Elephas maximus indicus: one gene and its partners. The protein of the gene in region 1 binds, or shares a complex with, the protein of each later gene. Links are inferred from orthologs where the notes say so. Each region holds a gene or a part of one and is shown on either strand. Other genes may lie near its edges. The genes, in order: RRS1, HEATR3 and RPF2.

The links.
Region 2: RRS1 (region 1) and HEATR3 share a complex: the UniProt entries of both Homo sapiens proteins name them as parts of the hexameric 5S RNP precursor complex. The link is inferred for Elephas maximus indicus from reciprocal best matches to the Homo sapiens genes RRS1 and HEATR3.
Region 3: RRS1 (region 1) and RPF2 share a complex: the UniProt entries of both Homo sapiens proteins name them as parts of the hexameric 5S RNP precursor complex. The link is inferred for Elephas maximus indicus from reciprocal best matches to the Homo sapiens genes RRS1 and RPF2.

The regions. Positions count from the first base shown.
Region 1 is NC_064833.1:76,193,708-76,197,629, reverse strand, and holds RRS1 (ribosome biogenesis regulatory protein homolog), read left to right. Parts: upstream 1-1,088; 5' UTR 1,089-1,193; coding exon 1,194-2,291; 3' UTR 2,292-2,815; intron 2,816-3,210; 3' UTR 3,211-3,764; downstream 3,765-3,922. UniProt on the Homo sapiens protein: Involved in ribosomal large subunit assembly. May regulate the localization of the 5S RNP/5S ribonucleoprotein particle to the nucleolus.
Region 2 is NC_064839.1:5,604,726-5,608,647, reverse strand, and holds the start of HEATR3 (HEAT repeat-containing protein 3), read left to right. Parts: upstream 1-1,105; 5' UTR 1,106-1,245; coding exon 1,246-1,377; exon of another isoform or gene 1,378-1,382; intron 1,383-1,511; coding exon 1,512-1,684; intron 1,685-1,734; exon of another isoform or gene 1,735-2,130; intron 2,131-3,367; coding exon 3,368-3,455; intron 3,456-3,922. UniProt on the Homo sapiens protein: Plays a role in ribosome biogenesis and in nuclear import of the 60S ribosomal protein L5/large ribosomal subunit protein uL18 (RPL5). Required for proper erythrocyte maturation.
Region 3 is NC_064819.1:176,906,533-176,910,454, forward strand, and holds the start of RPF2 (ribosome production factor 2 homolog), read left to right. Parts: upstream 1-1,603; 5' UTR 1,604-1,688; coding exon 1,689-1,711; coding exon of another isoform or gene 1,712-1,715; intron 1,716-1,724; exon of another isoform or gene 1,725-2,092; intron 2,093-3,922. UniProt on the Homo sapiens protein: Involved in ribosomal large subunit assembly. May regulate the localization of the 5S RNP/5S ribonucleoprotein particle to the nucleolus.

The DNA of each region.
Region 1 (3,922 bases):
TTAAAGTGTCATTATTTGACCCTTTTAACAACCCTGAGGTAACCTCATTTTGAGAATGTGCAGGGCTTAGAGACGTCATGCTTAGTAGAAAGTGAAAAAGGAGAGCCTCAATGAGATAGACTGACATAGTGGCTGCAACAATGGGCTCGAACATACCTATTATTATGAGGATGGCACAGGACTGGGCAACGTTTCGTTCTGTTATACATGGGGTCACTATGAGTTGGAACTTACTAGACAGCACCTAACAACAGGGCTTGAAGAGGTTATAAACAACCTGTCCAGGATATATGTAAACAGTAAACTCAGATCTGATCTTAGGTGATTTGACTCAAGAACCTGGTGCTTAACCGCAATGTAACACTGCCTCTTCAACTTACCTCCCAGAGCCATCATGAATATTAAATAATTAGCTTTAGGCTGACATGCATTGACCAGTTCGCCCATGTTCCAGGGCCTAGTCTAAGCCTCCCTTGGGGCACATTAGCTTATTTAGCTTCCTAACAGTCTCGCATCTTACACGTTTTAAAATAGGCCCAGACAAGTTAAACAGAGGAAGGTCAAACTGCTCCTAAGTGGCAAATTCGAGACGTCCCTGGTGCTCTTTAGCTAAAGCCCCGGAGCTCTGAAGTACCAGCCATCTGCCCGCTCCCAAACCGACCCAAACCTTCTTCTGCACTTAGCTCTACGTTTATCTGTGCGATGTGTCCACACCTAGAACCTGGTGAGCGGATTAGGGCCCAAGAACAGCTGGGTGGCTACAAATCTTTGCAAGATATTTAACCTGAACTTGTAACACCGTCGCTCCGGAACGCCCTTCATCTCCTGCCCTAGCAATTGGCCCCGCCCCGAGGCCCCGCCCCGAGGCCCCCACCCGCAATCTCGGAGCCGCGGTCCCAATCAGGCTCTGGAACTTGTAGTCCGCGCAACTCGTGCCAGCTCCGCCTACATCCGGGCGCAAGTCGAACGGCCCTGCCTCTAATACCATAAACTCTCCAACACCGCCCTCTGCCGGCTTTTGGGGAAAGGTCACCCAGACGGCAAGCCGGTTCCGGATGCTCCGGAAGTGAAGCTTTCTTTTCCGGACCGAGCATCTGGGCGTCTGCACGTGGTTGTTTTGCCGGACTTGAACCGGCGCCGGCGGAAAAGTGAGTTCAGGCTCAGCCTCAGAGCTAGTGAGCTGAACCAGAGCCATGGAGAGTCAGAGCGTGGAGGAGCTACTAGCAAAGGCGGAGCGGGACGAGGCAGAAAAGCTGCAGCGTATCACGGTGCATAAGGAACTGGAATTGGAGTTTGACTTAGGCAATTTGTTGGCCTCAGACCGGAACCCCCCAACGGGACTGCGGTGCGCGGGACCCACACTGGAGGCTGAGCTGCGGAGCTTGGCGCGGGACAACACGCAGCTGCTCATCAATCAGCTGTGGCAGCTGCCCACGGAGCGCGTGGAGGAGGCGCTAGTGGCACGGCTGCCCGAGCCCACCACGCGCCTGCCTCGCGAGAAGCCGGTGCCCCGGCCGCGGCCGCTTACGCGCTGGCAGCAGTTTGCGCGCCTGAAAGGCATACGACCCAAGAAGAAGACCAATCTGGTGTGGGACGAGGTGAGCGGTCAGTGGCGGCGCCGCTGGGGCTACCAGCGCGCCCGCGACGACACCAAGGAGTGGCTGATCGAGGTGCCTGGCAGGGCCGACCCCTTGGAGGACCAGTTCGCCAAGCGGGTTCAGGCCAAGAAGGAACGGGTGGCCAAGAACGAACTGAACCGGCTGCGTAACCTGGCCCGTGCACACAAAATGCAGCTACCCAGTGCGGCCGGCATGCACCCAACTGGACACCAGAGCAAGGAGGAGCTGGGCCGCGCCATGCAAGTGGCCAAAGTCTCTACCGCTTCTGTGGGACGCTTCCAGGAGCGTCTGCCCAAGGAGAAGGCGCCTCGGGGCTCCGGCAAGAAGAGGAAGTTTCAGCCTCTCTTCGGGGACTTTGCAGCCGAGAAGAAGAGCCAGTTGGAGCTGCTGCGAGTCATGAACAGCAAAAAGCCTCAGCTGGACGTGACGAGGGCCACCAATAAGCAGATGAGGGAGGAGGACCAGGAGGAGGCCGCCAAGAAGAGAAAGATGAGCCAGAAGGGCAAGAGAAAGGGGGGTCGGCAGGGCCCTGGGGGCAAGAGGAAAGGGGGCCCGCCCCACCTGGAAGGGAGGAGAAAAGGGGGCTTTGGAGGCAAGATTAATTCTGGGCCTCCTGGCTTGGGTGGCAAAAAGAAGGGAGGCCAGCACCAAGGAGGAAAGAGGAGGAAGTAATAGTTTTCACCCTTGGGTCCCCTCTGTAAACCAAAAACTATGCTAAACGTTAAACTTAAAGTAGCGGGATGCACAAGAAAGTGGCAGCTGCCTTCATTGAACTTGAGGTTAAAGGGACAGTGTTGCCCTCCCTTCAAGAGGGTATTTTAAGTGTTGGACTCTACAAATGAGTGTTATTCCTGCAACGGAGGGTTTGGCTGGAGTTTAAAGGACGCGTTTGAGGGCATCAGAATTAGGGCAAGAATTTGATGGACAGTGGGAATGAGTCTATTCTTAAAACAGCCTTTTTCTTTTTAATGTTGGCTATAGGGCAAGAGAGAGTTGGTCATATATCAGAGACTTACTGATTTATACGTTTCTTCATTTTTATCAAAGCAAAGGGAAAGGAAAGATTACAAACATTTTCTCAAGTGGGCTTTAAAGTAACTATTTTAAAGGTTATTTAATAAAGCTGTGTCTGTATCCAGTGTTACTTTTAACTTCTTTTGGTAGAAATCAAGTGAAACCTGTCATCTGAATACCAGGTATAGAATCTTTTTATTCATTTTAGAAAAAACACAAAGCAGCTATATTATGGTTTCAGAGAGACCACTTTAGTTAGAAAAACTCATACTTGTTTTGTTACCAAGTGTATTGAAGGTGTACAACAGATGTTTGTTTGAAAAAAAGATATTAAGCTTTTTCACGCTTTGAAAACTATTGGTTCACTGTAAATATAAGTGTGGGCGTAACTAAATAATGCTAATAATCCTCATTAATCCAGAAAATATTTAAAGTTTTCTGGATATTTAAGTCCCTAATTTGTTTTTCTTTTGGTTTATTTTCTTTTGTTTTTAGCTTCATGTTAAATAGGGTACCAGAGAAAGAGACCCACAAAGTCTTTAATTGGATCATTGTTATTTTTTGTTTTATCTGTCAGATTGACCTGAGCTGGTTTGATTAGAGGAGTCCCTAGGTGGTTCGCTCAACTGCCAAACAGATTTGGAGTTTTGAGTTCACCCACAAGCACCTCGGAAGAAAGGCCTGGCCATCTGTTTCTGAAAAATCAGTCATTGAGAGCCCTGTGGAGCACTGTCTGCGACACACAGGGTCGCCATGACCAGAGTTGACTCCTTGGCGGCTGCTGTGGTGGTGCTTTGATTAGAAGGGAAAATGTTTATGGCTGTCCTGGTGTACTTTTCTGCCCATCAGTCTCTTTCCCTAATAAAGATCTGAAAAGAATTCATAGTTGATCTAAAACCCAGGGGCACTTTTGTGCTGCTGTAGAGCAAAGGGCCACCCAGCTGTTTTTAGTCTGACAGTTGATAGGAAAAGGGAGAATTTGTCTTTCAGTTTTTCTGTGTAGTCTCTTACAAAGGTACTTGTAGAGGTTTCTGTGAAAAAAAAATCAGATTTCATTGTCGATGTGTAACGGTTATTAAAAACAAAGACGTTCAAATGTTACTGTCTTCAGATACTTTCTGATTAAATTAAAGGTGGAGGTTTTTGGTTTGGGCCATCATTAACCAAGTTTTCCCCTGAGAATGATAGGAACATGACACTGTTAAGGTCTTTCAGAATACAGTGTGATTGTGGAAAGTTTTAGCTAAGATCAAGTTAAACTATTTAATGGTACCATGAACAACAACATC
Region 2 (3,922 bases), on another chromosome or scaffold:
GTTTCTGACCATAAAGCCATAAAAGTAGAAATCAATAACAGAAAAAGCAAGGAAAAAAAAATCAAACACATGGAAACTGAACAAGACCTTGCTCACAAACTACTGGGTTTTAGAAGAAATTAAGGATGGAATAAAGAAATTTACAAAATCAAATGAGAATGAAAACACACCCTACTAGAACTTTTGGGACACAGCAAAAGCAGCGCTTAGAGGTCAATTTATAGCAATAAACGCACACATCCAAAAAGAAGGGCCAAAATCAAAACATTAACCCTACAACCCTAGAAAGGGAGCAGCAAAAGAAGCCCTCAGGCATCAGAAGAAAGGAAATAATAAAAATTGGAGAAGAATTAAGTGAAATAGAGAATAGAAAAACAATTGAATGAGTTAACAAGACCAAAAGCTGCTGCTTCGAAAAGATCAACAAAACCGATAAACCACTGGCCAAATTGACAAAAGAAAAACAGGACAGGAAGCAAATAACCCAAATAAGAAATGAGATGGGAGATGTCACAACAGACCCAACTGGAATTAAAAGAATCATAACAGAATACTATGAAAAACTGTACTCTAACAATTTAAAAACCTAGAGGAAATGGAAAAATTTCTGGGAACACACTACCTACCTAAACTAACACAAACACAGGTAGAACCACTAAATAAGCCTATAACAACAACAACAACAACAAAAAAGATTGAAAAGGTAATTTAAAAACTCCCAACAAAAAAAGCCCTGGCCCTAATGGCTTCACTGGAGAATTCCAAAACTTTCAAAGAAGAGTTAGCACCACTACTAAAGGCATTTCAGAGCATAGAAAAGGAATGGAATAACTCCCAAACTCATAACTTAAGCCTCACAATAGCCTTGCAAATTAGGTACTATTAATTCTATTTATTAGAAAGGAAATACAGGCTTGGCCGGGTTCAATAACTTGACAAACTCCACAAGGGCGGAAGGAGGCGGAATCCAGCCTCCTCCCACGTCCGCGGAAAACCACGGGACTCCACCCCTCTGCCGGGTCTGGCTCCGCCCATCCCCTCTTTTGCGCCTGCGCGCTCTCCGCGCCAGCCCCCTCCTCACCAGAGACGCACCACGCGCCTGCGCACTGCTTCCCCATGCGTGTTCGGTCCAGCTGAGCGGCACGAAGTCAGTCCCCTTTGGGACAAGTCCCTGTCACAGGCTTGGCAGCCCCCACCGTCTGCTGCTGTCCTCCTCGCTCCCTCTGCTCCCACAGCGCACACGCCATGGGCAAGAGCCGGACGAAGCGCTTCAAGCGACCTCAGTTCTCCCCCACGGGCGACTGTCAGGCTGAGGCGGCGGCGGACGGCACGGAGGGAGAGGAGGACGACGGCCCGGCGGCGGAGCTGTTGGAGAAGGTGAGGTGAGGGCCCGGCCGGGAGCGGGGGCAGGGCGGCGCGCCGTCCCCGGAGCCCTCGCGGGCGCTGTCCTCTCGGGGTCGCGCGGCTCCGCCCGTGCGTGCCCCGCCCTGACGTCCCGCCCGTGTCCGCAGCTCCAGCACCCGAGCGCCGAGGTCCGCGAGTGCGCCTGCGCGGGGCTGGCTCGGCTGGTGCAGCAGCGGCGGCTGTGCCCGGGGCTGGCTCGCCGGGACGCCGTGCGCATGCTCGGGCCGCTGCTGCTGGACCCCAGCCTGGCGGTGAGGGAGACGGCGGCCGGCGCGCTCCGGTGAGTGGGCGGCGGCGGGCGGGCGGCGGGCGGGCGGGCGTGCGGGGTGCGCCGCCAGCTCCCCCGGACCTCGCGCCCGGGCGGGAGCACCCTTCGTCCAGCGCGTCTGCCCCGCCTTCTCTTCTCAGCCCCACTGCGGCGGTGGGTGGGGAGGGGATTTGAGCCCGGACCCCGCCTGCACTGTCAGCCTGCTGCTTCCGGGCGACAGCCCCTTGCAGACGCCCTGGACTACGCCTCGCCCTTGCCTGCTCCTGGAAGCTCCGTGGAGCCCTGCGGTTGACTTAGCGCGTCCGCCCCCCTGCTCCTCTCTGAAGCGCGCAGGCCCGTCAGTGTGCCGGGACTTACTCTTGGGGCAGGGGATTTCGAGCAGGTAGGACAGGAGGGCGACGGACGGCCCCCTGCTTTCACAGAGCCTGTGTTGAGACAGGCAGGAAACTAGCAAACAGGTAGGTGAGAGCGTAGTGAGAGGTGCTGTGGGGAAACAGCCTGGTGAGTTCTCTCTAGATGACGTTTGAGCTGAGCCCTGAAGGACAGGAGAGCCAGGCCTGGGAAAAACGTGGTGAGGAGCGTTCATGACGTAGGGAGCAGCTAGGGGAAAGACGTGAAGGGACAAAGGGCGTGGTGCGTCAGAGAGCACAAAGGTTCGTGTGGCCCAGTAAAGCTGGGAGTGAGGAATTACAGGAGATGGGGCCGGAGAGGAGGACCGGGACCAGATAGTGTAGGTCCAGGGCTTACTCTAAGCAGGGAGTGACGTGATCTAACGATCACCCTAGTGGCTATGCAGAGAGTGGACTGCAGAGGGGGCAAGAGCAGTAGTATTTGTGGTTCTTATCGTAGCTCTGTATTTGCTATTTATGTCTCATTCAGTGGTTTAGCAAATGTATGTTGCATGCCTTCTGTATGCCAGGCACTGTGTTAGGCTCTGGCCGTGTGATAGTGAGCAAGACAGACATAGCCCTGGTCCATAGTGTATCTTAACAGTTTAATGAGGCAGATAGACATTAACCAAATGGTCACAGAAGTGTGTATTACAACTCACAATAATTACAAAGGGTACTGTGAGAAGTTCAGGGAAGAAAACCCTGAGGGAATGATGTTTGAGCTGAGAGCTGAAGGAGGAGAGAGGGTTAACCGTTCCATGGAGGAGTAGAAAAGCCCCCTCCCCACCAGATGTAGACACACTGGGAGCTCCTGGAAGATGGTGTGTGTCTTCTGATTTGTCTTTGTTTCCCCAGTGCCTAGCACAGTGCTGTGCGCTACGAAGGCGAGCATGTCTTTTCAGTTTAAAATTTAATTTAGCCAGGGCTGTTTCAGGGGATGTCATCCTCAGTAGCTTTACCCCTGCCCTTGAAATCTTGATTGCAAGAAAAGGCCCCTTCATAGATGATCAGGCCATGATTTATCCACACTGAGTAGGAAAAGTCTTCTCCCATCTCCGTTCCTATATTCATGAAGCTGTGTCCTGTCTCAGACCTTCTCTTCAGAACTGGGTGCTTACATGACAAGTCATTTGTTTACATCTCATAGGATGTAAACGAGGTTCCACAGCACTTTACAGAGGTAATAAGCGGATTTTCTCTCCAAAACCTTCAATATGGTTAACAATAGAAATACATTTGAGAGTTTGATAGAGTTTTGTGACATATGATCTGAATGTGAAATATATTTTAACTTCTTTTGTAGAAATCTCAGTGCTTGTGGCGGTTTTGAGGTTTGTGATGACATGGTGACTAAGGATGTCATGACGCCCCTAGTGGCACTGCTAAAAGAGGTATGCAGTTTTTAGAGCCTCTGGATGGTAGTTTCTAAATGTAGCTTTTCATATACAAACTTAGTTTCCTTTTTTTGATTTAGTAATTTGGTGTTAACTAATTTGTCTTCCCTCAAAATATCCTGTGAGGATTTAGTTTCTTTTCCTGGGAATACTCATCTACTTTCATTTCTTTGCTGGTCTCTGTTACTTTGTCTCCATCACCTTTATTGAAAAAGACCCTCCTATTTTTTTATGACTGGCTCTTTAGAGTTTAAACTTGATAACAATAAAAGTCATTAGCATTTATTGTTTTTTTACTTATGTACGAGGCACTGCTTGGTGTACTGTGTGTTATTTAATCTGCACCATGTTCTTACTCGCCTTTTACAAACAAGGAAGTTGATGCACAGACATTAGGAACTAGCCATAAAGATTACATTAAGGTCTCATAATTAATATCACACCCAGTCTTATTGTGAGATGTG
Region 3 (3,922 bases), on another chromosome or scaffold:
TTGCATATTAGGTAGTATTGAATATTTATTAACTGAATAAATGTGAAAGAATAAAAACTTGTCTGAAACTGAAAGTGAAAATCAGCTTAGAATGAAAAAAAAAAGCAGTCCCATGGTTAGTTCATCAGGGTGGGAGTACAGATACAAAACCAGATGCAAATTTAACAGAGAACATTGCTTCTCCCAAGGTCATGCAACAGCTGTAAAATATAAGGACCCTCTCCTTGACTGATTACTTTCTTGTTTTTTATATCAATTATGCCACTCAGCCCACTTTGCCATACCCATCTATTCCTGGGACACCCAACTGCTAAATTGCTCTTGCTTCATGACAACATCCAAACCCTAGTTAATCCTCACTTCTCCTAATACCACCTCAAAAACAGCAACCAATCCAGAACTGTCAATATGTTACTTACACGGCCAAAAGAACTCTGCTACATGATTAAGGATCTTGAGATAAGGAGATTATCCTGGTTTATTCAGGTGGGCCCAGGAGTTAGAAAAAGGAGTTGTAACAATGGAAGCAGAGATTCTAGTGATGCACTTTGAAGATGGAGAAAGGGACCATGAGCCAAGAAATGAAGTCAGTTTCTAGAAGCTGGAAACCCCGGCGGCGTAATGGTTAAGCGCTACGGCTGCTAACCAAAGGGTTGGCAGGCATTCGAATCCACCAGGCGCCCCTTGGAAACTCTATGGGGCAGTTCTGCTTTGTTCTATAGGGTCGCTATGAGTCAGAATCGACTCGACAGCACTGGGTTTGGTTTTTTTGTTGTTGTTTGTTTTGTTTTCTAGAAGCTGGAAATGCCAAGGAATCAAATTCTCCCCTGGAGCCTCAAGAGGAATACAGCTCTACTGACATCTTGATTTCAGACCTGTGGTAGAATTTCATAATTCTGACCTCTAGAATGTAAAATAATAGATGTGTTTTTTTTTTTTTTAAGCCACCAACCAAAACCAAACCGGTTGTCGTGCAGTTGATTCCAACTCACATCAACCCTGTAAGACAGAGTAAAACTGCACCATAGGGTTTTCAAGGAGTGGCTGGTGGACTGGAACCGCTGACCTTTTGGTTAGCAGCCAAGCTCTTAACCACCACCAGGGCTCCTTTTAAAAGATGAATTTCATGGCATGTGAATTACATCTCTAAAAATTGGGAAAAAAATCATGATCAGCAGTATTATTCTCCGAGCACCTTTTGCGTCAGGTGCTGTGGTAGTCATAAACTACGCCCTCACTGATCTCACAGTTTAGTCAATAGTGTGCATGCCTCATTAATTTTTTTATTGTGATAAATATGTAAGTAACATAACATCTGCCATTTCAACAATATCTACATATACAGTTCAACGGTATCACATTGTTTTTAAGCATCCTGGGAAATTTTCTAAAGAATAACACCTGATCCCTGGATATTTGACCCCGAGTATATACGCAGTGAGAACCAGCGTTACTTAAAGTGTTACTTCGCAACTGTAACTCGCAGGAAAGAACCATGACACAAACTCATTACAAAAGGAACAGCAAGATTCGATCCAAAATGACCACCATCGTCTCCAAGAATCAACCGTGCGGCGGGCCGAGGAAGTGGCGTCACGCGAATTTCCGGTTCCTCTTGTTCCGGGGCACAGACCTACCGGAGTACTGGCGCGTCGCACGTGCGTTTACTGGCTCGGGTTGCGGTAGCGATGGATGCTTTGGACCGAGTGGTGTAAGTGCGTCGGGGTCGCCGTCCCGGAAACGTTGGGGACAGGGGCTTCTGTAGCGGGAAAGAGTGATATTGACTCTGCTTGCTTTCCTCTTGGCACCGCTTTCCTTTCTCACGGGCGTTGCCAGTGCTGTCCGGGTGGGGCTGTTCAGTCCTCCAAATCAGGTCTCGGTCTGCTCCGGCGGCCGGGAGACTAAGAGCGCCGAAGTCCACAAGTGGGAGCCGCGGGATGCAGGTGGGACGGAGACGTTTGTCGCTGCCTTCCTTGGAGATTAAAAACGCCTGGCTTCCGTAGAAGTGTGAGAATGGTACAGCGAGAGGTTAAGAGCACAGACCTCGGAACCTGACAGATCTAGGTGACAATGCGGACGCGTCCATTTAAAGGCTTGTAACTTTTTGCCACTTAATCTTCCTCAGTCTCAGTTTACTGTGTAAAATAGAGATTATAATAGTCATATTTAATAGAACTTTGAGGATTAGTTGCAAGAATGTTTGTAAAGACTTTTCTACAGCACGTAGAACATACCGCTTTTTCTTTTCCTCCCATTCTTGTACACTTTCTGAGTTATATTTGAGTGATACTGTTTTAGATTCATTCAGAAACTATTTATTGATCTCGTAGACATTCCTGCTATTTGCTATGGTTTTTTTCTTGCGACTTACCTGACGTAACATGTAATCAAAACAAGAGTTTTTCTTTTTAGTCATTCAGAGATTTCTGCCTACTTGTTATATAGTTGTCTAGATACTTTGACTACAGAGATGAATAAGGCTAGGTTACAGTCTAATTGGGCAACAAAAGCTATTGCCTTGATTATTGGTTAATGAGAAGTGAGAAACGACCTGAGATATAGAGTATATAACACTGTTATTGCCATATAGACACACTAAATGTTTCTTGTGTTTTTTCAACCAGTAAACGAGTACAAGTTTTATATGCACTTTGTCTGGAGGAGACTTAAAAAAAATCTGCATAGGAAACTAAATTGTACGTGTGCTGTTTTTCTTTTCTTTCCTGGACTGTTCGTAATACTAGAAGACGGAGAGTCACAGTTATTTAAGGAGGAGTTCTTTCTCGATGGCAGTGGGTTTTGGGTTTCTTTCAGTAGATGGCAAAAACTGTTGGAAAAGTGTAGTTAGCAGAAGTAACAGCACCGTTCCTGAACAGAAATGTGTAAAAACATGCTGCTTCTACAGCTACATCTTACAATCAGAATAATAGATTTATTTTCTCTTCGTGTTTTACTGAGTGATTAGAAATCTGGGATTTGAGGATTTGTCTGCTTACTAATGTGGACGTTACCACTCTGCCTCAATTGTCTGATGTGTAAAATGAAAATAATTGTACCTGTCTCATTGGGTTGTGGTGAGAACTAAGCCTTAAAACAGTGTATCTTTAAAAGCGTCAACCATTATTATTCCCCTTTGGTGGCAGAAATGTTTACTTTCTCAGAAGTAATGATGGAGTGGGACAGTATGTACCTCCTGGCAGGCATTATGGTCTAACACCTGGAAGAAAGAGAAGAAATAATTAGCCTACTATGTGGCTTTGAATTAATAAGCTGTGTTCAGTAAATGCCTACAGGTTCATCAGCAGTTTATGTGCAGGGTATAGTTTGACTGTTTTAAGATTGAAGAATAACAACAGTATACATTTGAGTCCTTTTTTTTTTTTTTAAATATGAAAAAGGTGAAAAGGCAGTAACATACCTGGGTTCTTAAAAGCTTACAAGCAGCCATTCAGGGTACAGCAATTAGTCTCTAATCGCCTGGAGCAACAGAGGAAGAAGGAGAGTTAGGAATAGGAGGAGGAAGTGGAATGGTGGCCAGTTGCCTCAGTAAACAACTGTGTCCTTTGCCATGAGACCAGAAGACCTGGATGGTGCCCAGCTACTATTACTGAACATCTTGATCAAAGATCCTAAGGAAGAATCCTGATCAATTGGGGGAAAATGCAGAACAAAATTTCAAATTCTCATGGAATTTAGGCTTTCTGGAGCGGTGGAGGCTGGATGAATCCCTGAGATGATTTAAACTTTAAACCAAAAATATCCTGTGTGGTCTTCTTAAAATCAAACAATAGTTTAGCTTAAATACTAAAGAAAGTCTTCTTGAGCATTGTACTCTTTTAAGATGTGTCTATATAGGATCAGATTGACAGTGGCAACTCAAAAGATTAGATAGAAAGCTTAGGGGGCAGTGAGTTTGTTAGTA